Linked DNA regions of Elephas maximus indicus. The protein of the gene in region 2 interacts with the protein of the main gene of each other region in a pairwise test. Links are inferred from orthologs where the notes say so. Each region holds a gene or a part of one and is shown on either strand. Other genes may lie near its edges. The genes, in order: ERBB4 and CFL1.

Region 1 (14,799 bases), on a different chromosome or scaffold from region 2:
TCTTCATCCTAACAAAGACCCTGGGGTGAAAATAGTTTGCAGGAGCAGTCACCTGAAGAGTATTCAGACTTGCTAAGCACTGCAATGCAGATTGAAGAATAGGAGTGCTAGCAACCTCTCTATTTATATCAGGCACAAATAAATTTTAAAATATCCATATTGTGTACTTTTTAAAAGCAATGTAAAAACTCTGCATGTTTGAAAAGATCACACAAGGTTTGGGTGTAAAAAGCTGAAGTAATAAAGAAACATGAGGTCAGTTTAAGAAAAGCCATAATTGCTTTGTATGACAAGATTTGCATACCAAACACTTCTGATTTATGTACAGTGAAGGCCACAGCAGTGGGAACCAGCCTCAGTATCTTTGCGGAATCTATGCCTTGCAATCTTGAAGGTATAGTTTTAGCCAGCACAATTGGTCATTGTTTGCTTAAAAGCAGAAAGAGAACCACGGGTCCTATTGAAATATTTGCAGTAGTTATTTTTATCTTGACAGCTATGTTGATTTTACTTATGTAATTTTTGAAAAGTGCCAATTTTACATTAGTAGTCAATTTCTATTCACTTCAACCATATTTTGAAAATAGGCAAGTTTCATCTGAATGTCCCTTTTCAAGCCATAAACTTGAATGTAAAATACCTTTACACACAGGCATGAAAGATTTCGATAACCTAAAACATTTTTTTCTTATTATTTTAAAACACATAGCCTTTGTAGTCTGTCTCTTCTTTTTTTTTTTTTAAGTGAACACTTCATTATCGAGATTTGCTGACATTACATTGAGTAGGGAAATGCAGGGCTCAGTACAGCAAGACCTCATTTTTACTTTCTCTCTCTCATTAAAAAAAAAAAAAAAAAGTTGATGTATTTATTTTCTTTCAAAAACAATTATTTGAGAGGAGAAGTGAGGGAAAGGGTAAAAGGAGGTTATATTACCTCTGGAAGTATTTCCTTTGGAGTTTTTAAAATATCAGTGTCATACTGAATTAGAAAAAGGTAATAGGTAGTAGAATACTGATTACTTAAGGCAGTAGAAGAAAGTAGAAAATCTTTTTTATCTTATAGTAAATATTTAGGAGAAATTATATATATGTATTATATATGTTATTTACATATACATATATAAAAAAATACATACATATATATATAAATTACCAAACCCACTGCCATCCAACCGATTCTGACTCAGAGTAATTCCATGGGGTTTCCATGACTGTAAATCTCCACAGAAGCAGACTGCCACATCTTTCTCCCGTGGAGCAGCTGGTGGTTTTGAATGGCCAACCTTGCCATTAGCAGTAGATAGTTTTTAACCACTGCGTCACTAGGGGTCCTATATAAAAATTAGCAGCTAGTATTTTTTTTAATTTGCATTTTACAGCAAATAAAATGCGTTTAGATTTAAGCACAGCCTTGAAGATAAGGCTGTGCTTAAATCTAATCATGTTAAGATATAACGAAAATTAGTTTGGGACTGACTCATGCCCTTTATATAATATTTTGAGAATTATGATGCAATGAACCCTCTGAGAGTATTTAGAACAGTATTCTAAACAAAAATAATAGAGAGACAGAGAACATCTTGCCTGACCATTATGTTTTCAGTATAATGCATTACATCTTCTCTAGTGTGTTGGGGAGTTCCTAAATGGAGTGATAAGGAGATGCAGTAAGACAAGTAGTAATTCTATTTGTCTAAAAGTGTTCGTTTAACAAAGTCACATTAAGCTGTATGAAGCACACCGCTCCTACCCAGTCACTCTATCTAATAGACAGCAATAAATTATCACCATTGTTTTATTTCCTCCCAGTATTTGATTAGACAAAGAACATTTTTTTTTCTCTATCAGTTTTACCTAAAATGAAGACATGGAAAGAGTGGGGAGTCAGTATACATGTATTAAACAAACAGAAAAAACCCAAACCCCTTGCCATCAAGTCAAATCCAACTCATAGCGATCCTATAGGACAGAGTAGGACTGCTCCATAGGTTCCCAAGGAGCGCCTGATGGATCTGAACTGCCCACTTAACCATTATGCCACCAGGGTCTCCAGACATGTATTAGTTAAGATAAATATTAATGCCTTACATTGTAATAATCCCTGCCAATATCATATTCTTAAAAATAACCATAAAATACACAAGTTTGCAATGATACTTTGCACTGTGTAAGCAACCATTACAAAAAGTTATCCTGTGTACTATTTTTTCATTCAACAGCAATTTTAAAAGAGTAATATTGATTGTTTATAAGTTGATTTTATTTTAAGAGTAAATTAGGCTCATTGAAAACCAGAAATGATCAGTATGAAACATGACATTTATACTATTAGTACAATAATTCAAAATAGATTGTGAAATTGATTAAGTTCGTGTTACCTAAAAATTGTTTAAGTAAATGGTCTCCATTGTGGGTAGATAAAAGACTCATTGATCAAAAAAGATTTCTCTAGCAGCTTTCTATTTTCCCTTATTAAAATTGTTTTTTTAGATATAGGTGTTCATACTTCAGATTCAAAACATTGTCCAGCCTCAGCTTTGCTGATGCTGCTCTTTCTGCAGGGGGTTCACTGTATCAGCTGCCGGGATATATGTGGCTATTGCTTTGATACGTTAGCACATTATTAAAATGTTTACTGTATCAGCAGTTTAAATATTTTAAGATGGATGTGAATCAAACTATGTTCATCGTTGAATTTCTTAAATGATAACCCAATACCCCAAAAGCAAAAGATTAACTAACCAGTCTTTATTTTTAGAATCCTTATGGACAAATTAAGGAGGTAGGTGAAAAGGGAAAACATTTATTAATCTATCGATATGAATTATAAGCATCCTTCTGAAAAAAGTATATAAATACTACCACACATCGTTTTTATCCCCAAATATTATCATTCTTCTTTGTCATCAAACTCAATCAGTATAACTTTTAATTATTTTTAAAATATTATAATTATTGTTACAGTTCTGGTAGTTTCTTCTGGACCCTTTTCACTGGTGAATCGAAGTATTAAATGCTTTAGAACATAGAGTATTCTATAGGATGGTACAAAATTGTTATTCACTAGTGGCCAGGACCAAATATAGGAACTGCCAGATGTCTTAGACCTCATGACAGATTTTTCAGAAGTGAAGACGGACTTGGTAAGGGTAGGCACCAAGGGAATTGAAGAACTACATTAAAGGAATGGGAAATGGGTTATACTGAGAGGTGATTATTGGGCAAGGAGGAACCGGGCTATCGAAGTGTGGAAAGAAGACTCAAGAAGTTTAGGACCCTTTCTGGCTCTTAGAACCTTTTTTATTGATGCTGTGAAGATTTATGCATCACTATACAAACCTGAAAAGAAAATACATGGTTTCTAAATGATTACTTTAGTTGACAATTGGCAGGAGTCCAAGAAAACATTCTAAGAACTCTTTGTGTCCTTAGTCAGAACAACGTTCATTTTTGTCTGCAGACTTTTGGGAAATCTATGTGTTAACCATAACACGATTAAGCTCTTTGCAGAGTTAAGAATAAAGAAGGAAGGAAGCGGAATATAGAGGCTACCTGGAGAAGAAGCTCTGGTTGCACAGTGGTTAAGCATCTCACTGCTAACCAAAAGGTAGGCAGTTCAAACTCACCAGTTGCTCTGGGGGAGAAAGATGTGGCATTCTGCTTCTGTAATAATTTACAGCCTTGGAAACCCTGTGGGGTCCATATGAGTTGGAACTGACTAGCAAAGGTTTTGCCTGGAAAAGAAACTAACACACTTTTCCTTGATTCAGATTTCAAGTCAGGTACTGTCAGAGCCTCAATAAGCAACCTCACTAGTTAGTTTACTTACATATACAGGCAATCCCTGGGTTACAAATGTCCACTGGCAGACAACTTGCCCTTCAATGTTATATAAATTTGCTCTTACTTTGAAACAACTGAACCAACCCTTACTGGCAACAAATTCTTCATCACGATCACCTTCACTTGCTGCATGTGCAGTTTCTAAATAATTGAAAAGTCTTCAAGTTTTTTCTTGCACTAAAGTAAGCTAAATAAGAACCATACACACCTGTTCCAACTTACCTACACGTTTAAAGACTTAAAGTCACCGTTAGGAACAGATCTCTTTTGTAACCCTGGACTGGCTGTACACAGGCACTCAAAGAGAAAAACGTTCCTTTCCTTTCTAGTTTTCAGAAGTCAATGGCAACTGTTGGTGAAGGTTTACTACATATTGAAACTTACAAAGAAATAGAAAAAGCTACAGGGAACACAAGAACTTGGGTTAAGAAAATATTTAAAGCAGATACACAAGAGAAAAAGGCTTTACTAGGAAAATCATTTTTGTATAATTTTATTGGGAAAGATTGCTAAGTCCACAGGGCTGAAATTATTTTGCAGTTTCAATCACAAACCGGAAAGGTCTATAAGAACTTGGACAGACACTGATGAATGGACATAAAGCAACACGGAATTGATTTACTTTTTAGTCACACCTCCTGAGCTCTTAAAAAATTAAGGCTTAATCACGTATATAAAAGGAAAACAACAGTTATTAACCCAAAACAAAATGATCTTGGGGAGGACTTCTTTGAGTGTTAAATTAATGTAACAAAAACATTTCTTTGGTTAGTGCATATTAATATATTCAAACATTTATTGAGCTTTGGCCTTAAAAATTAAATGTCACCAAATATCAGAGAATGCCAGAAATCAGAGGTTTAAGAGCAAAGCTATTATTTCAAGTGCTGAGTTAAAAAGCAAACAGAAAATACCAATATTGTGTTTGTCATCTGCTTGATCACCATAATACTGAATCTGACTGGTACTCAGCAACATTTCCTCTTAACTGGTAGAACAGTAAACATTCAATTCTTTACCACTACACAGTGATATAACTGTGAGCCTATCTGAATATTTTCCTAAGGTAGTTTAAGACACGTGTCTGCGTGGGTGGTCCAGACAGAGATGTGTATTGTGGGTAAGCGGGAAAGAGAAAGGAGGAGGTATGAGAGAGTATTAAAGTCTGTGAAAATTATGACTTACACTTAGTAGATGGTTAGTAAATCATAGACCCATAAAGTCTTGAAATTGAGAGTTTACAACAACAGGCATATGAAGCATATGAAGTAACTATCTCAAGATCACAAGATAACTTAGAAAAATGAATGGGGAGAAAAAAATAGAACCCTAGATTTATTTTTAAATATTCATAAGAAGATAATGGATTTACAATAGCGTTCCATTTCTTTTCTTAGTTGATATTTGTCCCCAATTTATATATATATAACTAATGGCAAAATGTGCTAACAGCAATCTCTAATCTCAGAAACAAACTAAAGATTATGTGAACTGTGGAATTCTGGGACAACGCTAGGGATCTACTTCGAGACTGAACACTCAGTTCAGTGTGTTTCTTTCTGGCACCATCATCATTCTGTCACACATGATATCAGAACTCTTTTTTTTAAATTATATTACTAATGGAAAAAATGAAGTGGAGAGGGGATTCAGGAGAGCAGCCCTGGACAAAGGCATCTATATGTCATGGTTATGGCTTCAACCAAAGGAAATCATGAGAAACCAGGAAAGGAGACTCAACAATATTGGCCATATCAAGATGTCTTCTTCAAGGATCATACTGGCATATATAATCTCATTTATGTTGGAGGGTCCCATTTTACACTCTTTAGGTTTCAGGTAACAAAAATGAAAACTGAACTAGCTGAAGGAAAAAGGGGGTTTGAAAAAATAAGCCTCAGGAAGAGCTTGGATATTCTCCAGACCCATCTGGGATTTTGCTCCTTTCAAATGGCAGCTTCATTCTTTCTTACTGCAGCCTAGTGATCTCTACATAGAAAGAAACATAGCCAGGCCAGGTCTGTAAATCTAGATCTCAAAAGCCACAATGAAAGACTGAATATGAGCTGTTTCTTTCTCATGCACACAGTCTCAGGGAAGAGTCTCAGTGGGAGTGACCATTTTTCACCTAATCAACAGTAACCTAGGCATTTTGATTGGTTCAGTGTAGAACTGGAGAGTCGGGGTAGGCTGTACCATAGAGGCAAATTCAGGTTAAAAATGTAGATCTGGAGGAAGGGCAGTTCCTCGAAATGGGGTACTAAGCAGATAATCTCCGGTGTTTGTCTGTTGGTTAGTAAAATACCTGTAGATACAACCATGTTAGATTAGTCAGTTTTATTTATTTTTTTTTTCAGATTTCGAGTAACAACAACACATGTAACTCAGTTGGTAGAGATTTATCATAAAGATGCATAGGAAAGTGAAGAAGTACAGAGATCAATTTTAGCAAGCCTCTAGCAATCCAGTTAGTATATCCCTCCTTCTACATCAGGTAGTAAATTGTCCCTACTCTGGTGTTCCTTCTTTATGACTCAGCCGAGACCAGAAACAAAATGACAGCATATACAGAAAGAACTAATTCTTGTCTCTGCCTCATGGCTTCTAATTTCTCATCCTTCAGACTTGCCCCCACAGGGTCCCACCCTCCTGTCTACATCTCCAGGTCTTAAATGATCTGAACTAGGCTCTGATTGGGAAGACCAGTCATCCTGAAATGTAGGATGCTTCTGCTTGGTAGTGCTTTCATGCCAATCCATCTTACAAGCTGCTGGTCAGACAATCACTTTTAACCAGGACCAATCATGTTTCAATTAGTTAGAGAGAGGAAAATGGGATCAAAGCAGAACAAACTGAGTATCTGAGGCCTTGTAGAGGCTATCTAGTATATATACACAAACACACACACATACAAAATAGACTAATTTTTTAACCAATGAATATTAATTGAAAACCCTCTTTTGCAAAGAATTATTCTAGAGGTGATGGGTGAGACCAAGATGTATGGAATTCCTGCCACAGAAGAGTAAGTATAAAATTGATGGGGGAGTGGGTGGTAAAAATGATCACAATGGATATGAGTAGAAAAAAAAAACCCAAAATATCCAGACTATTTTTTGCCCACAATTTAAGGTAAAATAAATAACCCATTTCTCACTTCTTACAACAGAACTGGTATCAGAAACAAAGACTTAGTTTTTTTAATAATGGAAATTTTAAAAAGAAGTAGCTTTCATGGAGGAGAGGTGTCTAAGAGTCATAAGAAGCAGAAGGGGATTTAAGGACAAAAGAGTGAGAAGAGATTGAATGAAAGGAAAGAAACCAGAGGGGGTGGGAGATAAAAGTAGAAAACAAAGATGATCCCAAAGAGCAGTAAGCACAGTTCTGCACAATCAGTACCATTCTGGTCAAGTCACCATCATCTCCTTTAGGCTTAACTGCTTCCCACCCTAGGCTGCTTCTGGGTAACAGAGCATGCTCATCTCCTTTGGCCTCCTCTCAAGGCCTGTTACTTGCTCTGGGCCTGAGAGGGAAGGCTTCAGGCTTCTGGGATAAGACTGCTCTTCCTATCTGTTCTCAGCTCCATGGAAATTCTTAAGGGACAGAGCTCTAGATAAAAGCTGAGGAACAAAGGAGAGGTCTTAAATGATGAGTGAAGAGGCAGGATGGCTTGATTTTTAAGCTCCCCTGATACTTTCTATTTATGTATTTGCTACTTCTAGAGAAAGCAAAAGGAAAATAATTCATACGTGAAATGCCTGTGCAAATTGCAAAGCAATAACCTACTACCCTCAGGAGGTTCTGGCCCCTGCCCTGGGTATAGTTTCAGAGTTATAGAAGGCAAGGGGTATGTATACTGATATGACCCGGTCCCAGGATATTTTAGATCCAGGGAAGGCCAGAGACTTCCAGAGCTAGCAATGACCTGGGACTGGGACCATGAACTTGCAGAGTGAGAACATGGAAGGGACCTAAAGCTTGATTCACTATAGAATAATCCTAATCATTTGAGGTCCGTTATCTCCTGACTTGGCCGCCTTAAATTCTTTCATACTAAACAGCTCACACTCTGGGCAACTTCTAGCTTTTCAGGACCAAATCAATACCTTTGGACTAGAATCTGAATAATGAGAATAAACCCAAACCAAGTTGTCCTAGAGCCCAAGAAAAGGGTGAAAACACCTATAAAGTCTAAAATCCAAACAATTTTACCTCCCCCTCCCAAGAAAAAAATCAAACCCATTGCCTTGCAGTCCATTCTGATTGCGACCCCATAGGACAGAGTAGAACTGCCCATAGGGTTTCCAAAGAGAGAGGCTGGTGGATTCGAATTGCCGACCTTCTGGTTATCAGCCCAACTGTTAATCACTGTACCAGCAGGGCTCCAAAAATTTTACAATCCATACAAATGTGGAGTTTTAGTTCGGCTCAGTGTCAGCCAGTTTGGGAAGGTGGGTGTTGGGAGAGACTGCATAGATGGGGAAGGAGGATGATTATACCCCACCACTACCTAATCTGCGGAGGCTCACACTACCCAAAAGTCAGTACTGAGTTTTAAACTATTTGCTTAGTGTGGAGCATGGGGGAACAGGGGAAGGAGGGAAATGTTTTGCCCGAAGCGACGTGGATTTTGCTTCTATTTCTAGGGATGTCTCTGGCTGTGGATTAGCACCTTGGGGCAATGGCGAATGGTGACTTCGTTTTTACGAAACAACCTTTAAACACCCCTCCGGTAATTTGCCCACTCCGCGGGCCAGCTGTCCTGGGCTTCTGCCGGGGCGGGAGGGGGAGTGTTTTAGTCGGTGGCCTCGGATTAGCCCTTTAATACCAGCTTCCCCCGCCCCCAACACCCTTCTCCATCTCCCTGACAGGTGTTTTCCCAACTCCTGAGGCCGAGGATTTTGGGGAGTGGCTGAGCCAATAAGATTTCCCTTTGGGGGGGGCGGGGGAGAAGGCGTGGCTAGTAGGGTCAGAGCAGGGGCGGGGATTGCGCGGCTGAGCAGAGCCTGCTTGGTTGCGTGGAGGGCTGTTTTATTTTATTTTTCCGGAGTCTCATTAATTTCTCTGTGGGGCTGCAGCTGGAGACCGCGGAGCGTTGGAAATGACGCTCGGAGCTTTAATTACCGCAGCCGCCGGACAAGTGTGAGGAAAAGCTGCGAGGGAAAGAAGGGCAGAATCAGGGGAGAAGCGAGAAGCTCCCCCCACCCCGCCCGCCCCTTCCCTCCTGATTTGGACTGGAGGTGCAGGGACCCAGAAAAAGGAGCCGAACGTAGCCCGGCTGGGGTGGAGAGGCCGGAAACCTACCGCCTCTTTGCAATCAACTTTTTTTGGAAACCTTTTTCCCCCTTCCTTTTTATTGTTGACCAACCAGAGCGAGAGAGAAAGTGAGGAGGGAGCGAGAAAGCAAAGGCTCACACGGGGACGTAGCTGCCCAGTCCGGCCGGCCCGAAGCACCACGCGCACACACTCGAGCACACTCCCACCGCACACACCCGCACGTATACTCGAGCCCCCTCCCCGGCCCCGGCCCCGGCCCCGTGCGCGTGGACTCCTTCACCCGCCTCGGAAGCGGTTCGCCGCGCGCGCCGCCCGCCAGCCCCCCTCGCGCCCCACGCGCTCCGGGCTGAGGAATCTTCTCCGCGTGCCAGAAAGGGGATATGCCATTTGGACATGTAATTGTCAGCACGGGATCTGAGACTTCCAAAAAATGAAGCTGGCGACAGGACTGTGGGTCTGGGTGAGCCTTCTTGTGGCGGCGGGGACCGTCCAGCCCAGCGCTTCTCAGTCAGGTGGGTCGCGGTTCCTGCTTCTCGCGCTCCAGTTGTTGAACCTGCTGCCGCCGGCTTGGTCGCCACGGGTGGCTCTCTCACCCTCTTGGTCCAACCGGAGACCCGCTCACTCCCAGGCGTGAAAGGACCACCCGATAGGGGCCTCTTCTTTGGGCTCTCGGTAGCCCTTCTTTCCATTCCTAAACTTACCCTGTGTGTATGTGTTTTGCTTTTGGTGAAAAATCCCTCTGCGTCCCGGCCCGCCTCTTTTTTTTTTTTTTTTTCTCTTAAACTCCCCTTTCTCTCGCGTTTTCTGTGAGCCTTAGCGGGATCCCTGTGGTCGCGCCTGTTGTCCGGGACATGCGAGAGCCAAAAGCTCAGTCAGAGGACGCTAGCCTCTCGCAGTCTCTGCCCGAAAAGGAAGAAGCCTGGGGGAAGCGTGCCCCGGCTGGGTGGCGGTGCCTGGCGGGCTCCTAAAGGGGAACGAGCTGTGGAAGGGGAGCTCCGAGAGCGGGCTTGCACCTGTGTGCGTGCTGGCGGGCGCTGCGCCCCCAGTCGCCGAGCCTTGCGGGGTCAGACCTAACTAGAGCCCAGCCGGGGCAGCCGGGGCGCGGCAGGCGGGCTCGCCTCGGTCCGGGGGCCCGGAACCCGGGGCCTCCTCGGCCGGCGTCTGGGAGTGCATTGGCTTGAGGGGCGCTGACTTGCCAGCCTGAGCTCTTTAAAAAAAAAAAAAAAAAAAAAAAAAAAGGCCTGGCACACTTGAGGCGGTTGCTGTGTTTGGCTCGGGGAAGAGTTGTTCCTGTAGTTCAACTTGCTATTGGCCGGAGTCCCTCCAAGTTCTCTGTTTACAGCCCGGCGGGGCTGCGGAGCCGGCCCGTCGCGCGAATTGATTTACCCCGAGGCGGGCGCGGCGGCTGCGCTCCAGGCGCGGCCACTGTTTGCTGGAGAACTTGAGCCCGGGATACCCCGGCAGGCCCTGGGCTCAGTGAATCCCTAAAGGCAGCGCAGCGGGGCCGGCGCTCCCGGCGGGCAGGACTGCTGACTGCACCTGCCGTGCGAGGGAGCGCAAAGTTTCTGACACTTGAGTTTCCTGGGAGATGACAGTGGGACAGGAAAGGAGAACAGAGGGGAACCCGTGGCCGAGTCGAGGGACAGGGGCCTTTTGGAGAGCCGGGTAGATTTCCGGATTCATCCGGGGCTGGTCACGGGAGCGTGGGAGGCGGCTTGAGGAGATAAAGCTTCCGGAGGAGGCGATAGGGAGAGCTTTAGGCCCCCGGAGTGTGTCCTTCTGACCTCACCAAGAAAACTGCGCGCAGTAGTTTTCCCGCTCCGCCTCCGCCGCCTCCCCCTCCTGCCTTGGTACACAACAAGTTATAATCGTCCAGGCTTTCCAAATGACCTTCGAATGGCACATGTGCACCGTTGGCGCTGGCCGTTTGTACCCTCCCAATTACTCCGAAATTCTTCATGCATACCAAGTCCCGCTCTCAAGCCGCCTCCAGAATTGTCACACCAACACAACACGGTCTGGAGATTCCAAGCGGCCTCTTAGATAACATCCCTTTTTTATCTCCCGCCCCGCTCCGATTCCCTTCATATTTTCCTTCAATGGGTTGATTACGCACATTGACCCATTCAAACGCAGTTGCGACTGCCACGCAGGGTTAGCTGAGAGGAATGTCAAGGAAGCGACCTACTGGGGGCTGTCTGGTGCAGCCTTAGTCGCTGGGGGACCCGACTCGAGTCCGCAGCAATTTGTTATTAACTGTGCGGCTCGGGGGTTAAGTTATGCCGAAAAGCCCTTTTCAGAATTTTTGCAAGGAATGTAATCCAAATTAGTTCTGCAGCTGTCCTCTTCCTCGTCTCAGGCGACACCGGCTCGCGCCCTCGCTAGTCTCTTCTCACTTCCCCCGGGCGAATTGTCAGACCCACAAGTGAGCCCATTTAGAGCGCAAGGATTAGCGTACCATTGTTGTTCCCTGTGTGACTCTGTACTTGAAATTCTAGGGGCACAAAGGCGAGCCTCACTTGTTCAAAACACAAAGTGATCTAGATGAAAGGGCCGCACAAAGAGCTCTCGGGCGCATCCCTGGTCTAATTGCAACACGCATACTCAGGTGATCCACTGGAAACTGTAAATGCCCTTGGGGACTTCTTTTTTCATCCTCTCTCCCCCTGTACGCCGCCGCACCTGGCAGGGAAAGTTAAACTGGTTTTAATGTAGTGCTATTATAAAACCAAGTTACTGTCTGGGGCGTGAGGGAGGTTCCGTGTGTTTGTGACTGTATGTGTGTGGCTGTGTGTTCCCAAGTAAATACATATTGCATGTCTCCCCTCTTGCGGTTAGCAGTCAGTAGCAGTTTGGAGGAGTTTGTTTTGGTCCAAATGAGAAATTAAGTGCGGATAAGTAAACTAAGCTGCCAGAGGGCGACAAGATGTTGAGTGAATTGCTTTTAGATGAAACAAATTAAGGAAACGAGGGAAGACAATCTGCTTCTCGCATTATTAGACACGCTTGGAGTTCAGGGGAAAGTGGCATATTTTTGAAATGCTAATTTCTTAAGAAGCAGAAGGAATGCACCTTATTTACTGCTCTATGTGAATAGAATTAAAATATTGGGGAGATTCTATAGTAAAATCTAAAGATATTTCTTACAAGTAATTTTAAAGATTTTTCTTACAAGTAATTTTAACTGAAGAAGACCTGGTTTTATTTATTTATTTCTTCTTTTGCTTTGAAAGAAAATCAGCTTTAGAGAAGATTATTTTTTCCTAATTCTGAAAAACTTTGTCTCATTTCCAGTGATTTATTTTATCTAGAAATGTTATAACCAAAGGCCCTTTAGAGAGCAGTTATAAAGCCTTTACTAACCAAAGGAATGATTCCAAAATTGCAGTCTTCCTTATGTGATTAAAATATATTAGTTTGTATCGAAATAAAATGTATAGTACTATTGAAGTGTGTGCTCTTACATACCTTAATAGGTATGATGAACGAGTTCAGTTTGCTTTTCCTATTTGCAAGTAACTTAGTCCTGGTTTTTATTTTATAAAAGTACACACATCTTTCCGACATATTTAAGATCCATCATGACACCTCCAAACTTAGGTGATTTTTACATTTGAAAAGAAAATTATTAATAAAACTTACAGTTAAATGGTGTAAAAGGTAGTAAATACATCTTCCAAAAAAAAAAAAAATCAAAACCATCAATCCTCTTTCCTACACGTGTTTACTCTAAGCGCACCCATGGGTCCACTGTTTCCTTTAGTCCCTTTTGGTTTTGAAATTTTATATATGGGAACTTCTTTAGAAGTTTTTTTTTTTCTTCTTTAGAATACTTCCAAAGAGATTAATGCCTGTTACTGTAACTGCAAATCACTTGAAAGTACTGTAACTATTGGCCCTTAAAAAACTGAGTGACTCTGGTTGTGTCATGATTCCTCATCTCTTGATTTTTTTTTCTCCTAAACTCAACTGCCATTATTTATTTTAATCATGCATGCATTAAAAAGTAAAATTTTGTTGAAATCAAGGCACTTACTCTGTTACATATATTTTCATTTAGTCACTGAAAATATGTCTTAATTAAGAAATTACATTAGAATGTTTACGAGGGCATGCACGTCGTAGATTTAAGCATTTTTCACTCTTTCCTGAACATAGTAAGTTTGCATTGGCTGATTTTTACAGTTTGCATTCATTTGAGGGAAAAATCATATTTTCTCTTTAAAGTGGATTCAAATATTTAGTATTCATGAGCTTTTATCCCTTTGGTACTTAAATAGAAGTACTATTTTTCATCTGTCTTATGCATTCACCCTTTGTATTACTGTAGATTCTTTCTTTACATCTTATTATTTATTGAGTTTATGCATGTGCATATATGTTTTTTTCCCTCCATTACTGAGTGTATCCTTTTTGTGTGTGTGTTTCTTTCCCAGCAACCTGCCACTCAGCCACTGCAGGAGCCTTCTGAGTCAGTTTTCATTCTTTCTTTCTGTTAAATCTGATATGGCTGGATGGCTGGAGAATCACAAGCCATTCCATTCCTCAGATTTATTCCTGAAAGAAAACAAAAAGGCATCGATCCAAGATCACTAGCACATCTCCAAAGCCCTGACTCCAAGGCCAAATCTTTCCACAGAGAAGTCTCTCTTTCCCTCTCTCCCTGTTTTTCCCCCTTGACCAAGGAAGGAGGGTAGACTACTGCCCTTTGAGAAATACCAGGGATGCATGGGTTTATGCCATTTCTAAATACCCTCTGAAGCTTGGTGATGAGATCCACCTTGAGATTAATAGCTATGTAAGGTGCACATTTTAGACAATAAATTGAATTAGGCTATCTTAAGCATTGCAGTGCTTTAAAGTCCTATCATTTTTCTGTTATTTCAAGTCAGATTTGTAAGCACCTAAAACATAAATGAGGCATATGATCCAAAAAAGATATTGTGTTTGTTACCTAAAACTTGTGAGGGCTTGCTCTGTTTGATATCATCCTTTTCAGACATGTTGATTTATGGAGATGCAAGTATTTACATTGAAATTTGCTTATATACATCCAAGCCTACAGCTGTTCTACAAAAAACTAATTGTCAAGCATATTCCACTGTTACATCTTTCACAGTAATCTACTGAGTATGCTATGCAGGGTAGAATTTCATCATATTGGAAACTTTCCTCCAGGTTATATCATTTTAGAGATGTTCTCTTATGTTACATTTCACCATATGGAGCCAAATAGCATCTTTTGTCTAATACTCATTTTCTGAAATATTACAAATATTGGGAAATGAGAATAAAATCTTACTTTTCATGATGTCTGTTACAGCTATTGACTGGAGTTTATACTTTATAATGAAAAACAACCCCGTCACCCTCCTTTTTTGTTAAAAATAAAAAAAATAAATAAATATTTCCTGCAACTATAGCTCTTCCAAATAATTTGAAGGAGACTCGAACTTTCTATTTCATGGATAAGTGTGACACAGGAAATAGGTGGCTTTAATCAGAATTTCTCTATTCTAGGGACAGCTCTTTCAGTTTCTTCTTAATATCTTGAGCAACTCCATCTCTTTGTGACTTACTTAGCTGGTGTGCCTGGGGTGGGGTGGGGGGAGAACACATAAGGCCCTCTTTATTTTTGCGCTCTGTAGCAATTTTCTGAAGAATGGCTGAAAGTCT
Region 2 (14,837 bases):
AGACATACTAAGGTATGACTCACAGGTGGCCAAGGTGAGAGGCAGCACCAGAGTAGGTGTGGGCTGGAGGCCAGTGGGCATGGTCAACCCAGGTAGGGTGGCGAGGGCTGTGGGCAGGAGCGGTCCTGTGCCCATGCTGGCTCCAGGACCTGCTGTACCGACGGCTAAGGGCACTGGCTGACTATGAGACTGCCAACAAGGCGCTAGGCAAGACACGCACCAGGAACCAGGAGGTGTGCCCCGAGAGCCACCAGCAGCTGCGGTTCCAGCACTTGAAACGCCTTTCTGAGTCAGCCAAGCAGGGTGAGCCCCTGCCGCCCTGACCCCCCACCACTGGGCACCTGCCCTGCCAGGTTCCCATTCTTCTCCCCAGAGCTCACAGGCTTCAGGTCCCATCGTGTCTCCTATTTCTGCAAGAACCTCACTGAGTTGGCAGAGCTGGAGCTCAAACACGCCAAGGTGAACCTCTGGCCTCCCCGGCCCCCACCACCAGGCCTCTAGGTTCTTAGTTTCTCACACTTGCTTACTAAGTCTGTGTGTTTTGGGCAGGAGGAGGTCCAGCACCTCATGAGCAGCTCCAGCTGAGGTTCAGAACCCTGTTTCCCCATCTTGGGCCAGGTCCCTGCCCTTCTTTCTTCGTTGGTGCAAATCACTCTGTAGGTGGCAGGGGTGTGGCAGGCGTTATCTGAGATTCAGAAAGTACAACTCCCAGTCTTAGGAGCAGGGTGAGGGCAGGCAAAGAACATCAAGGACCTACCTCTCCCCTCCAGGCCAGCACACTGCTGCTCCAGAACACCCCCACTGTCCTCAAGGGGGAGCCTTAGAGCAACCAGAGCACACCAATCCTTGTCCCTGGACCTCCAGTAACAAGGGGCCCCCAGGCCCCACCTCAGCAGCCACTAGCACACCCCCAGTTCCCCTAGGCCAGCCTGAGCCCGGCCTTTTCAAGAGGAGGGCAGCATGGCACTGTACTGGCCACAGGTAAGCAGAGCCCCAGGACTGGGCACCTCCAGAGGCCCTGACCTCCCCTCCCCAGGGTGCTGAGGACAGCCCCCACCCACCCACCACCCTGGAGGAAAAGCACGTCTACCCCCACCTGTTATCCACTTATTAATAAAGAACCTGGTTTTCTAGCAAGGGGTTTGCTGGAGTCCTCGTTTCCCACACTTGGGCCCACCTTCTGCCAGGGCATTGTTGGGGCCATATTGTGGGACCAAGTCGGGGACAACCTGCGGTGTCCTCAGCAGTTTCTCCAAAGGAACGTGCAGAACTCAGGCTTGGAACCCCAGGAGCAGCATTCAAGGTTTCCCCCACTCCCACAAACCCTAGCTGGACACGAGTAGAACCAATTACAAGTCCTCTACCCTGGTTTTTTTAACCAGCAAAGTAGAACTACTCCTTCCTGCCTCCCTTAGAGCTGCTATTAAGTTCCAAAAATCTAAAGAACTAGTTCTCGCTCACGCTTTTTCCAGTTCATTGGTTAAGGGAGGAAGAATGAACCCTGTGTTACCACCCCCAATTTATCCCAGGCGCCTTGGATACCTTTGCCTGCCAGGCAGGTGAAAGCCCAAAGTGCAGGCTGAAGACAGCAATGCTGGCAAAAGGCTCCAACCCAGCCACCACCCTCTTGGTTAAACACTGGGAGGTGGGGCCCAAGACACCTGGGTCTGAAGTCCTGGGCTCTACCTGGCTGGCCACACCCTAAGAGATTCCAACCACATCTAGAAGGCCAAAGGCTCAACTTCACCTGACTCACAGCAGCCACTTGACCTGACCCTCTACTCTCATAAATGCGAATCAGCCATCCCGCAGAAGAGTCAGAAGGAAAACGAAACAAAATCTTGAGAACATAGACAATACGTTACCACACAACCTGTGACATGCAAAAAATCTCACAGCCAAGAAGCCTCAGTGCCCACAGGAATGAGACCAGAGATACTCAGTTCAGGCATAAGGCCACTCTACTTAAAGACCCCCTGCAAGCAGCAGCAGACACACCCTGGCTCCACCACCCCCCGAATAGCCAATGTGGCGCCGTTGTGGTACCACCCAGAAAGCAGTAGAGTGGTGATCTCAGAGATAGGCTCAGCCAGGCGCTGAGGTAGACCAGGATGCATGGGGCTTGCTGGGGATCACTGTGCAAAGAAGAAATGCTGCTCATTCTAGCCCAACACCCCTGCAAGCCCCCCAGGCCCCAACCCTGTAACAAACATCCCATTAGCAAGCTTTCCTTTTTTTTTTAATTGAAGGTTCCTTACTGGCCCTGCCTCCAAACAAGTGGATGTGACCAGGGGAAGAGAGGAAGGGGAACCAGCCGGCGTGGGGAGGGGTCATCTCCACAACATTCCATTTATACACAGAACTAAACGGACAAGCACAAAATCACTATTGCGGTTAGAAGTTGGCAGCCTGGGAATGGGGAGGAACAAGTGGGGAGTTGGGGTGTCGTTAAAAAAAATACAGGCCCCTCCCAAACTGGGGTGCCTGGGGGGACTTGGTCTGCTTCAACCCAAGAGGAATCAGAAGATCAAAAGCGATTTGGGAAGGCCAGAACCTTCGGGGTGGAGGGAAGAGGAAGGTCCAGGGGGTGGGGGCGCTGTTTGGCAACTGGGGTGAAGGGATTGCCCTCCCCCTGCTCGGATCCCCCCAGCCTCTCCGGTCTGGCAGGAAGGGGGCAGCCTGCAGCCCCCACAAGCAGGTCTGGGGCTGCCGGATGTTCCAGGCAGGGGGCTGGAGGGGGCTCACAATGGCTTGCCCTCCAGGGAGATGACAGCGCTGCCTCCTAGCTTCTCTGCCAGGGTACAACGGTCCTTGACCTCCTCGAGGCAGTTTGCTTGTACTTCATGCTTGATCCCTGGGGTGGGGAAAGAAAAGCAACTCTGAGCAGGAAGCATGGGGTGTGGGGGCTGGGAGGGAGCCAATCAGAGCAGACTGACGGGGACAAGGTTACTTTCCAGCAGGCAGGGAAGGGGGACAATCTCTTCCATCACGCTATTCACCGCACCCCGAGCTGCAGGCATACAGCACCACCAATGCCAGCCAGCCCTTACCTGTCAGCTTCTTCTTGAGGGCGTCCTTGGAGCTAGCATAGATCATTTTGCTCTTAAGGGATGCACACTCAGGGGCCCTAGAAGGAGAAAGAGCAGGGAAATTACAGTCCCCTCCTCTGGGTCCAGCAATCTCCCTCAAGCAGTAATAGATGACTTCAAAAAACCCGTGAGATGACTTTCAGCATCCACATACTGGAATTTCTCATTGATAGTAGATGCTCTGTGACAACTGACTACCCCTCCCCACACATCGGTGGGTTATACCAAGAACCACAGAGGTTCCCATTCTGAGAAAAGGAACTAGGGCAGGTAACAAGAAGAAGTGCCTGAATGAGAAGCTCACCAAAAGATAAACACCAGATCCTCCTTCTTGCTCTCCTTGGTCTCATAGGTTGCATCATAGAGGGCATAACGGCAGTCCTTGTCCGGCAGCATCTTGACAAAGGTGGCGTAGGGGTCATCAACAGTCTGGCCCACGTCACCAACCAGGATCTCCTTTCCCTCCTCCAGGATGATGGTCTTCTTGTCCTCACTCAGGCAGAACAGCACTGCCTTCTTGCGCTTCTTCACCTCCTCTGGCGTCGATGATTTGCGCACCTTCATGTCATTGAACACCTTGATGACACCATCAGAAACAGCCACACCAGAAGCCTGGGAAATGAGACACACACATCTTATGAAGAACAAGTTTCTGAGATCCCCTGGAAGTCTCCCCCCTGCTTTCTCAAAAGACCCCGGTCTGATGCCAACAAGCATAGTCCACAGTCCCATATCCCAAAAATGTCATTAACTGCCTTCCCAAAACAATTGTCACACCCAAGCCCCTGTCAAAGGACCAGATAGTACACAAGCCTGGAATGGCAACCACGGAAGAGACCTCTGAGTCATGCTGCTCAACATCTCCATCTCACAGACCAGGAAATTGAAGACCCATGAAAAACTAAACCTTTGTTGAACCTTCCTAAGATAATCCATAAACTACTAACTTTTCTCTTACAATATTCAATCTCAACCTTCGGATAAGAATTGACTTAGAACTTCAAAGAAGAGAGAAAACGACCCCAACACCCAAGCCACGATCTTCACTTCACAAAACAGGGAACCAGGACCCCAAAACGCTAGGCAAGACACCGACAGTTCTAGCAAGTCCATCAGAAATGACCAATGCAGTTACTATATAAACAGTCCCCTTCCCTGCTAGATCTTCTTTTACCCATAGCCGGATCACAACTGCCATTAGGGCCCAGCCGAAAAACACCCTGACCTCCGGAAACGGTGCACGGCCTCAGGTCGCTCACAGATGTTAAACAGGAGAAACTCTAGTGCCCAGGGTCTTCCAGAGCTCTTTAAACCTCTACCCTGTGTCCTGCTGGGGGACAGCCCAAGCAGGAGACGGAGCAACTGTCCACCATGAAGTCCGAAACCCCCCACCCCCGGAACTGCGGAGGAAGCCAGCCACGTGATTTAGTCGCTTCCGGAGTGGGCGGGGAAAGGAGCTCTGCTCCGCTCGGCCCCCTCTCCTAAACAGAAACCCACACCCTAGCGACAGTGACACCTCCAGGGCCTCAAGCTCCGGGTGTCACCCTTACAGGCGTTCAGCGAGCCCATATGCTGCAGGCCGGAGCCTGGGCAGTTACACAACCTTCAGTTCTCCAAGCCCTCAGGCCCAACGCAGGGGGCGGGGTGGTTTCCGGGCGCTGCCCGCCTGGGTCACTTCCCCAAACGCGGCTCCACCCTCAGGCCCCATCCGGGAAGGCCGACGGCCCCACTTGTCGAAGGCTTCGGCCCCCGCGGCCGGACCTGAGCATGTGCGCACGCGCCGGGGACGGCGCTGTTCCAGCCGGGGCCCAGGGCCCGGCTCCCTTCGTAGGCGCACTCGACCCTGGGCCGGGCTGTGGCCTCGGCGGTGTCCGCTCCGTGCCGCGCGGTGTAAATCCAGTTCCTAGGTGCCTGCGTCCCCACCCGGACCCAGGCACCCGGCATCCCGTTGGCCCCTTCCGGGCGCAGGCATCCCTGGCACCTGCTCGCCAGTTAGGCCTGCCTGCTGCCGAGGGAGGATGACGCGGAGACAGGAACAGCCCTTGGGTGGGGCGCGCGCGCCAATACCTCCTGCGCGCTTTTCCCTCGCCGCCCCCGGCCGGGCTCGGATGCCGCGTGCTCCCGACGGGCGCGCGCCCCCCGTGAACTGACTCGCACCGACCTCCGCGGCGGCGCGCGCCACCGGCCACTCCGCGAGAGGCCAGCAAGCGCGCGCGCGTCCCGCACCCCTCCCCCCACGGCCGGTGTCCGCGCGGGCGCACCAGCAAGGTGGGGGAAGGGAGGCCAGGGGGCGCGCGAGCGACGTCCAAGCCAGCCTTCTCCGGCGCCCGCGGGCGCGCACGCGCGTCCCGGCACCGCCCGCCCCTCAGCGCGAGACCCTCGTCCCGCCCGCAGCGCTGGGGGAGGGGGTGCCGACGTCGCTCCCCCGTCCTCTCCCCCGCGCTCAGGCGACCGAGCCGCAGCCACCTCCCCTCAGGCGCCGTGGCCCGCCGCTCACCATGTTTCCGGAAACGAAAAAGATACGGCAAAGAGAGCCAGAAAATACGAGAGCCGCTGCAGCTGCTGCCGGGATCCGACTGAACGCGGCCTCTCCCGGCCCCTTCCGTTTAGTATGAGCCGCACAATGAGGGGCGGGGCGGGCTTCCGGCGCTTCCCCCGCGGGCCGACGGGAAATGAAGTCCGAGAGTCTTGCACCGTCTTCGGGTTCTTGGAGTAGGGGCTCCGCACTGCATGCCGGGAAATGTAGTCCGAGGCAGCCGAAGGGGCTGGAGTGAAGGGCACGGAGCGCGCGCCCATTGGTGGAGTTTCCCAGGAAACGCTCGAAGCTGAGCGATAGGCCCTGGCTAACCTTAAAGAAGACACAAAAATGAACCCCGATTTTGCTGTCCTTCACCCTTGAGCGAAACGGTTTTCATAATATACCCATCTTGACACTTTCTAGATCTCCTAGTCTGAAAATTTTTAGTGGGATTAGGATTTTGCTTTTCTGAATTGAAACAACTCTCCATTGGTCTGGAATTCAGTCCTAAAACAAGGAGAATCGCAAGGATAAGGAGCCTTCAATCCAATAAACACTCACTGAACGTCCTCCGTGTCCGAAGCCACTCTTGTCTCCTCAAAAAGGCCACATGCAACTTTAGTAAAATAAAAATAGGGGAAAACACAGACGCGCGCACGAGCGAGGGAAAGGCTACGGGGGGAAAAAAAACTTTCAAAGGAGGGCTTTGTCTTTATTTAAAGGTGCTTGGCAGACGTCATTCATTCACGAGGCAATAAAGGGGTTTGTGCATTTCAGTCCAAGGATTCTTTGTATCTCTTATTTGGCAGCAAGGAAACAGACATTAAACCAGACTTGAACCTCGTTCAGGTTGATATGATAGCCAGGTAGATGATTAATAGCCGCAAAACTGAGACACAAGCTCTGTGGGCGCATACGCCTAAATAAAATGGAACTGTTTGGGATGTGCTTAGACTTCGTTGGCTCCGAAAGATGATCATGAGACTGCACACTCTGCAAGAAGAGAAGGGTCGCAAACACGTCAGAGGCATACCCATAAACGGAACTGGTGGCCTTGATCCCATAGCAGAAAACAACGTGTAAGTAGTAGGAGGCAGCCCAGTCTTCAAGACCCCAGGAGCGACACCAGGGAGTGGGGTACCTCGCAGAGCATGCCGGAGATTGTAGTCGGGGACATCCCGCAGCACCACCTACCAGCCGAGCATCCGGGAGGCCCAGGTGGAGGCCACAGCTCGACCGCCGCCTCCCGCCAGCACCCCAGTCAGAGGGGAGCCTGGTTCCACCTATTTCGAGCCTCGGAGTTTCCAAGAGCAACAAGGAGGGGGAAGGGGGCTTCGCAGTTACCCTGGAAACGCTCTCCCGCCCGCCGCCAGCCGCAGGATGCCCTAGATGTCCTTATTAGGGCATGAGACTGGAGGGGGCGGAGCCAGCCCGAATGCCGGCTCCAGGCTCCTTATAAGGCCGCGTCGGGCGGGAGGCGGGAGGCCTAAGCAGGCTGGGGATGCTGGATCTCGGGCTGGGCGGAGTCTGCAAGGGTGGACCTGAAGCTCCTTCGCAGGCCCGAGAGCTGCACCTCGCGACTTCCGGCATGACAGCTGGTGGCCTATGGGCTGCTCCAACCCCCTGGCGAGATCCCTGTGTCCAATCTTCTGTACGTGCCCCTCAACCTGGGGCCACTTTGCAGAATCCCCACATTTAATCGATCCCCCTGAGGGCTCCCCATCTCCAATGAGCCACAGAAACGACGAAGCATTCTCCCCTTCTACCTTTCTCTGGGCTTCTTCTATCTGCTTCCCCGAATTCAGCCACGTGCCACCATCTCTCAGGATGCGCAGCACCTCCTAGTTAAAGTCCCCTTATTACCAGTCTTCCGACCCCCGTGTCCTCCTAGCTTCAGTGTTCTCTGCCTGTCCCCGACTTCACGTCCCCCACTCTGCCCTGTGTCCCCCAGCCCGTGATCATCATTTCCTCCGAAGATCCTTCAACTCCTTCTGCCTTAGCTTTGTATCTTCATGCCCTGCATCCCCTCCTAGATGTCACTCTGGAAAATATACCTGCATCCCCCACCTCTTCTGGGCTCTTTTCCAGCCCAGTCCTCTCCCCCATCCTCTGTAAGGGTGAGGCTGAAAGTGCCAGCGGACTTTGAAGAAGCCAAGCTGAGATTACTCCGTTAAACACGTCCCCGGCCCGTCCTCCCAGCCACAAGGGGCGCTGTCCGCCTTCCTCTCGCCTGCACAGATAGGGCCCCGCTCTCGAATTTGGGGTGGGAGGAAGGGGCGGGGTCTAGGCTCCAGGGTCCTAAGTGGGGTGCGTCCAAAGGCTGATTCAGTGCGGTGGTGTGTAGAGACAGCAATCTGAGCCGGCCACTTAGAATAGTGCAGGGGCGGGGGGCGAGGAAGGGAGGCGATCACCCAGTTAGTGCCCGCGTGGGACCACGTGACTGGGGAAGCCCCGCCTCCTCCGAGCTGGTGTTCGAATCCCAACTCCGGAGCTGGTGGTGTCCCAGTTCCGCCGGCGTGAGGCGCCCGAGGGCCGGCCCCAGGGCTCATGGCGGCGCCGGTCCGCCTGGGCCGGAAGCGGCCTCTGCCCGTTTGCCCTAACCCGCTCTTCGTACGCTGGCTGACCGAGTGGAGGGACGAGGCAGCCAGCAGGGGGCGCCGCACACGCTTCGTGTTTCAGAAGGTGGGGTCCGCGCCGGCCTAACTGGGGCGGACGCTGGCCGAGCTGGACCCCAAGGCCGGCCTGACCGCACCCCCTGCTCCCGCAGGCGCTGCGCTCCCTCCGGCGGTACCCGCTGCCCCTGCGCAGCGGAAAGGAAGCCAAGATCCTCCAGCACTTCGGAGACGGGCTCTGTCGGATGTTGGACGAGCGGCTGCAGCAGCACCGAGCCTCGGGCGGTGAGCGCCAAGGGCGAGGGCCGGTCTTCCTCTGCCGCACCAGGTGCAGCGTTCGTGCCCACCTTGGATACCTTGGCTTCAAACGCTCCACTCCTGTCCACGTTGTCTGACCTCGGACTAGCGGCTGGCTCTCTCTGAGCCTCACCCTTCTCCCGTACCGCTTGAGCAGGCAGCGTCCCAGCCCCTCCCCGCCTGCCAGATTCTGTGGGGTCCGGGAGTGAATCTCTTCCGCCCCCACAGGTGACCATGCCTCGGTCTCACCACCTGGAGAGAAGAGTTCAGCCCCGGAAGGGCCACCTGCGGAAGCTCGGGATCCTTCCCTGCCGGTGAGTACAGAACAAGGGGGAGTGGCAAGGCAGGTGGGTGTACCGAAAGTAATATTTCCAGCTCTTGGTGGTTGGCTTTCTCAGGGGATGTGAGTTGCTTTGAGGAAACGTGAAAATTAAGCAGGCCAGTGTTCAAAGAGCTACATTAATGATACCTGGGTTCAGGCAAGTGGTTATTTTGAGATTCAGTTTTCTAGTGTGTAGGTGAGAATATCGACAGTAGAGTTATCCGCAGAGTTGTGTGATTAAGCTAATATGGAACCCCAACCCAGTAAGTTGCAGGGGTTGCTGTTACTGAGTTTTGCAGCGCAGGTTGGTGGACCAGGAGAACTGAGGCTTGGCCAGGCAACCCCCACCGTCCCGTACCCCATAATGGCCCACTGCCACATCCCAGCTTTGCAGAGGATATTCCCACTATCTGGCCCACTTTACAGCTAAGGAGTGTGAGAGGCAGTTGAGTGACTTGCTTTGGGCCTGCTGAAACAGAACCTGAACCCTCAGGTGTCCCGGCCTAGCCAGGGACTCTGCAACAGGCACTGGCTGTCATGTTCAGAGCTTTCCGTACCCTTCAGGTTCCAGCCCAGCCCAGATCGAAAGGCTCTGGCAGCTACTGGCCAGCCCGGCACTCAGGAGCCCGCACTGTGCTGTTGCTGCTCTACCAGGAGCACCTGGTGAGTACCAGGGCAGAGGCAGTGGGCCGGGGGCTATTGAAAAGCCTGGCTGGGGCAAGGTGGTAAAGAACATCCAGCCACTAGGGCTGGGCGATGGGGTGCTTAAGGGAGTAAGCACAGCGTGGAGGGACCCAGGCACTGAACCTTGATTTCAGAATCCTAGTGGCTGCAGTTTCCTAACCAAGGAGGAGCTGCTGCAGAGATGTGCCCAGAAGGCTCCCAGGGTGAGCGCTAAGGTAAGGCGCAGACCGGGCTGAGCGGCTCTGAGTCTGATCCTCAGTCCCCCAGAGACTGCCCTTCTCAGATGCGGGCTGTGGTGTGGGGCTTGGCCCAAGGCTGGGGGCAGAAGGAGTGTGGCCACTTAGTGGCACCAGTGGCTCCCTGAGGACTTCCTTCTCTGTCGACAGGTGGTCTCTGGCAATGTTCGACCTTGGCCAGCTCTCCGATCCCTCCTCCACCGGAACCTTGTTCTCAGAACACACCAGCCAGCCAGGTGGGGCCAACTGCAGGGGATATAGGGAGTGGGGAGCAGACTTCACATTCTTAGTGGGGCTTGCAGTCATTCAGCAAGGCCCAGGCCTCACTCCGGGCACTGTGGTCCCACATTGTCCGGGTACCTGGAGGATCTGAGGGCCTGGGAGGGAGGAGGGGTGCCACAAGTTACTGGGGCAACAAAAGGGCTTTGCTGAGGAGGTGGCAGTTGACATGCTGTAGGACTCAGTGGAGAGGATGCAGGAAAGGCATTCCAGGAGGAACAACATGAGCAGGAACCCAGAGGAAAGAAGACTTGGGACGGACTTACTGGAGACCTGAGAAGTAGTGCTGGGCAGATTCGGAGAAAGCTAAGCTGATTATACATTTTAGGGCTGGGAGGGGTTGAGCTTGCTTGTACAGGGTTGCCAAGGGGGTGGCACGGCCACCCTAGTTGGGGGCGGGCAGGAGAGCTTGCCTAGTCTGACTGAAGAAGGGAGACTTGTGTTCGTCTTCTTCATCTCCCAGGTATTCGTTGACCCCGGAGGGGCTGGAATTGGCCCAGAAGCTGGCCGAGTCGGAGGGCCTGAGCTTAGTGAATATGGGCACAGGGCCAGAGGAGCCTGCTGGGGAGGAGCCAGAAGTGCCGGGAGCAGGCTTGTCCAAGCTGTGAGTGGGAGGGGTGTGGGGGAGCATGAGGGCTCCCTGAAATGAGGCCAGCTCCCCACTCCCACCTCCGGACCTAGCTGAGCTCTGGCTGCTCCACATTCTAGGGGGAGGAGAAGGGGACTGCCTTGGCACTGGGGTTCTTACCTCACACACACCAGCCCCTTTTCCCCACAGGGATCCCAGTGAAGTGACTGCCCAAAAGCCACTGCTGGAGCTGGGGCCTGGCGAGTACAGGGTGCTGTTGTGTGTGGATGTCAGCGAGACCACAGGGTGAGCAGTGGGGAGAGAGGGAGCAGTCAGGATGCTACTAGGGGGCTCTTGGCCTGCCCTGACCTAGGCCCCTGCCTCAAAACTCCAGAGCTGGGCACAGGCCAGAGCTGCTCCGTGAGCTGCAGCGGCTGCATGTGAGCCACACAGTCCGAAAGCTACACGTTGGGGACTTTGTGTGGGTGGCACAGGAGACCAGGCCCAGAGACCCAGGTAAGGGGCCCTAGGTGGGTGGGTGTCAGAGGCAGGCCTGGCAGGTGGGGGGACACGAGCCAATGAGACTCTCCTTGGCCCCTTGGTAGTGAGGCCTGTTGAGCTCGTGCTGGACCACATCGTGGAGCGCAAGCGGCTGGATGACCTGTGCAGCAGCATCATTGACGGCCGCTTCCGGGAGCAGAAGGTTTGCTCACTGGCCTCGCCCTGTGACCCCTGCTCCCTGCTGCAGGACACACCCACAGCTCTGGGGCTTCCTCCTCAGCCCGGAGGAATCCAGGGGGACTTCTGGGCTGGCCACACACCCAGGAGAGCTGCTCCGGGACAGCCCTGGGAGCAGGCCCACTAGGGACACAGCATGAAGGTGTGCAGGATACTTGTGCTAGATGGAGGAGCACAGTAAAGACCTCTGAGTAGCCAGGCCCTGCAGTCTTGGATAAATAAGGCCCAGATCTCCAGGAGGGGAATGGCACAGGCCACATCCCATACTGGTCACTTTGCTGGTCCTATAGTCAGAGAGACCACGTGCAGATGGAAGAGCGACTTAAAGAATGAGCATGTTGAGGGAGGGCAGGAGGAGATTTCAGTCACAGCATGAGTAAAAAGGTAGCGGCTGCCTTGAGACTACTGGACGGGTCAGGGATGAAGACGGGACCAGTGTGTGACTCTGAGCCTTCTCTCCTCTGCCTACGTCCCCAGTTTCGGCTGAAGCGCTGCGGCCTGGGGCGCCGGGTATACTTGGTGGAGGAGCATGGCTCCACCCACAACCTGAGCCTTCCCGAGAGCACCCTGCTGCAGGCTGTCACCAACACTCAGGTGAGCTGGAGGGGAGGGCAGGCCAGGTTGGCACGGGCCTCATGGTTGGTGGCTGTGCTCAGGAGCCCCCTCCCTCTCTTGGGCCCCCTTCCCCAGATTATCGATGGGTTCTTTGTGAAGCGCACAGCAGACATTAAGGAGTCAGCTGCCTACCTGGCTCTCTTGACACGGGGCCTGCAGAGACTCTATCAGGTGAGCAGATGTACCTGCTGGGCATTGGCCTCCATTCCCCTGAGGGATGGGGGGTGGGTAGTATTCCCACTTCTCAGACTGGTTCTCTGATGCGTAGATCACACAAGGACGGGGTGGGGGTTGTCCCCTGGAGCTCTGACCCGGCCCTCACTCTCCTTTTGCCTCAGGGCCACACTCTATGCAGCCGCCCATGGGGGACCCCAGGGGACCCTGAACCAGGGGCCAGGCCCTCCCCAAATCCTCTGTGCTCACTCCTAACCTTCAGTGACTTCAACGCAGGAGCCATTAAGAACAAGGTACTGTCTCTGCCTGGTTTCTCCGCACGTGGCTGGCCCCAGACCAGCCCTGACCTGGTCCCTGTCCCACCCCCCAGGCACAGTCCATCCGTGAGGTGTTTGCCCGTCAGCTGATGCAGGTGCGCGGAGTGAGTGGGGAGAAGGCGGCAGCCCTGGTCAATCGGTACAGCACCCCTGCCAGGTAGGCCCTCCGTCCCTGCATTAAATTCAGCTCAGCCAGTGCTTCGTGGGGGGCCCGGTTCTGTGTGGACTGTGCAGACCCAGAGATGGGTGATCCAGCTGAACCCGAGGTAGTTCACAGGACTAGGGCCAGGAGAGGGACAGAACCAGCCAGGACCAGACCGTGGCCTAAACGCTGGGGGAGGCCACGGGTAGGAGAGAGACTATTAGGCCTGGAGAAGCAGAGAAGGCTCCTTGGAGGGAAGGCGAGGGAGCTGGGCTCGGAAGATGGCCCATTTTGCTGGCCTGAGAATGCCCAGGCTCGGGGAGCATCTCCTGCAGGAGCTTTTGGCACCTTTGCTGGTCCTGTTCTCATGCTCCTGCAGAAAGGTAGAGGGTTTGGCCCCTGGTTCAGGGTTCCCTGGGGTTTTCCAGGGGTGGCTGCACAGGGTGTGGCCCTGAGGGGAAAGGAGAGTGAGGCTGGGCCCAAGCTCCAGGGGACAGCCCCCAGGGCCTTGAGTGCCAGGCTCAGGAAGTGGGGCAGTGATCCTGACCCCTAGAACCCATGCAGACCCCTTCCTGCTTTCTCGTCCATGGTGCTGGCCTGGAGCTGGGTTCCAAGTGGGCCAGCAGCCAGCCATGGTCAAGCCTCAGAAACTGCAACATCCCACCCCACCCCCAGCCTCCTGGCTGCCTATGATGCCTGTGCCACTCCCAAGGAGCAGGAGATGCTGCTGAGTACCATTAAGTGTGGGCATCTGCAGAGGTGAGGGCAGGGGACAGACTTGGAAGGAGTGCCAGGGGGCCGGGGCTGCCTGAGGCACAGGGTCTGACCTCACCTGCCTCTCTCCCTGCAGGAATCTGGGGCCTGTTCTGAGCAGGACCTTGTCCCAGCTCTATTGTAACTGTGGTCCCCTGACCTGAGCCGTGCTGTGAGATGGGCCCCTGCTTTCCCCCACTTGGCTGCTAGCCAGCCTTTTAACCAAAATCTTTTGGGCTACAATAAAAATCATAAACGTTCACGGTTTTATGTGTTACGGAGGAGAGGCGCCAGGCCCCAGGGGCATTGTAAAATAGCCAGGCAGGAATTGGGGAGACCATCTGGTCCGGTTTTAGGCTGAGTTCCTCAGGCTCCTGGAGCTCCATGTGGAGCACCAAGGCTGCCAAGGAGGTGGACTCACTGGGCATTGCAACTTTGAGTCGAGTTTATGTCATCAAAGGGTCCCTGAATGAATGAAATTTCCTTTGATAAGAAGTTCTGCAGCTTGAAAAAGAAGTTTGAAAACCATTAACAGTCCGGTTGCCTCACTTTATGGATGGGAAAACAGAGGCACAGGGAGCTACTAGGGTTTGTCCAAATTCATACTTTGAGGCCGAGCTGGGATTGGACCCCAGGGCCTTCTGGCACTGCCCAAAGCAGGGTCCCCTAGCAAACCAGCCAAGCCCCAGTCTCTGGGCTGAAGCTTCATTACCTCCTCCCACCAGGCCAATTCTGACATCTGGGGTACGCAGACCAATCCCAGCCTAGAGGACAGGGCTCCCAGCTCCTGACAGTGGGGTCTCCTCACCCTGAGCACACAGCCCCCCTTCCCCAGTCTGGGATGACTGCAGTTTTTACCCACCCACCTCAGCCACCAGGACGACTCCTTTCTCCCTTTATTGCCTCTCTCTCTGCCCCTCACAACGTCTTCCCTTTTAGCAGAACACAGTCCTCCCTGAGCCCCAGGCTCCTCCCTCCACTCCCTTAGGGCCCTCTCACCCCCTCCTCAGAAGGTGTAGGCCCCCACGAAGACGGTGAGTCTCAGTACAGAGCTGGCCCGGTAGCTCATGAGGGAGTTCATGGTGACCATCTCCAGGTCCAGCACGTACTCCCGGGGGCCCGTCACGGGCCGGGCGAGGACCAGCATGGCGCTGACATTGTTGATTTGCTGCGGGGCACAGTGGGTGGGGGCACACGTAGATTGTGTCAACCGATGTGCCAGGCTCCTAGCCTGGCATCACCTCCTGACCCTCTTGCCTTATACCCATTACAGCTGGCCGGGAGGTAGAGACGTCTGTCTCAGTCCTGCCCCGTTTTCTCATCTACCCTCCTGCACCCAGGCTTCTGCCCTCAGAAGTCACCCCCTGCTGCTTTTCCCACCGTTGCCAGCTGGTTTTTGTTCCTCTAACTGGGGTTAACCAATGTGAGACAAGACCAGGTGTGACACTTGGGAGTGGTGGGGCCTTTGGTAACTTGGAGTAGGCAGACCCCTC

The links.
Region 1: the proteins of CFL1 (region 2) and ERBB4 interact in a protein complementation assay, tested with the Homo sapiens proteins (2 studies listed by BioGRID and IntAct, with this or other methods). The link is inferred for Elephas maximus indicus from reciprocal best matches to the Homo sapiens genes CFL1 and ERBB4.

What each region holds. Positions count from the first base shown.
Region 1 is NC_064824.1:111,012,294-111,027,092, reverse strand, and holds the start of ERBB4 (receptor tyrosine-protein kinase erbB-4), read left to right. Parts: upstream 1-8,851; 5' UTR 8,852-9,553; coding exon 9,554-9,635; intron 9,636-14,799. UniProt on the Homo sapiens protein: Tyrosine-protein kinase that plays an essential role as cell surface receptor for neuregulins and EGF family members and regulates development of the heart, the central nervous system and the mammary gland, gene transcription, cell proliferation, differentiation, migration and apoptosis.
Region 2 is NC_064825.1:128,990,810-129,005,646, forward strand, and holds CFL1 (cofilin-1), read right to left. Parts: upstream 5,697-14,837; 5' UTR 5,590-5,696; coding exon 5,587-5,589; intron 4,403-5,586; exon of another isoform or gene 4,315-4,402; intron 3,702-4,314; coding exon 3,394-3,701; intron 3,128-3,393; coding exon 3,051-3,127; intron 2,855-3,050; coding exon 2,742-2,854; 3' UTR 2,222-2,741; downstream 1-2,221. Other genes in the region: crossover junction endonuclease MUS81, read left to right, coding at 8,155-8,289, 8,375-8,504, 8,745-8,830, 9,403-9,501, 9,657-9,737, 9,909-9,994, 10,501-10,641, 10,816-10,911 and 8 more; EFEMP2 (EGF-containing fibulin-like extracellular matrix protein 2), read right to left, coding at 14,351-14,512.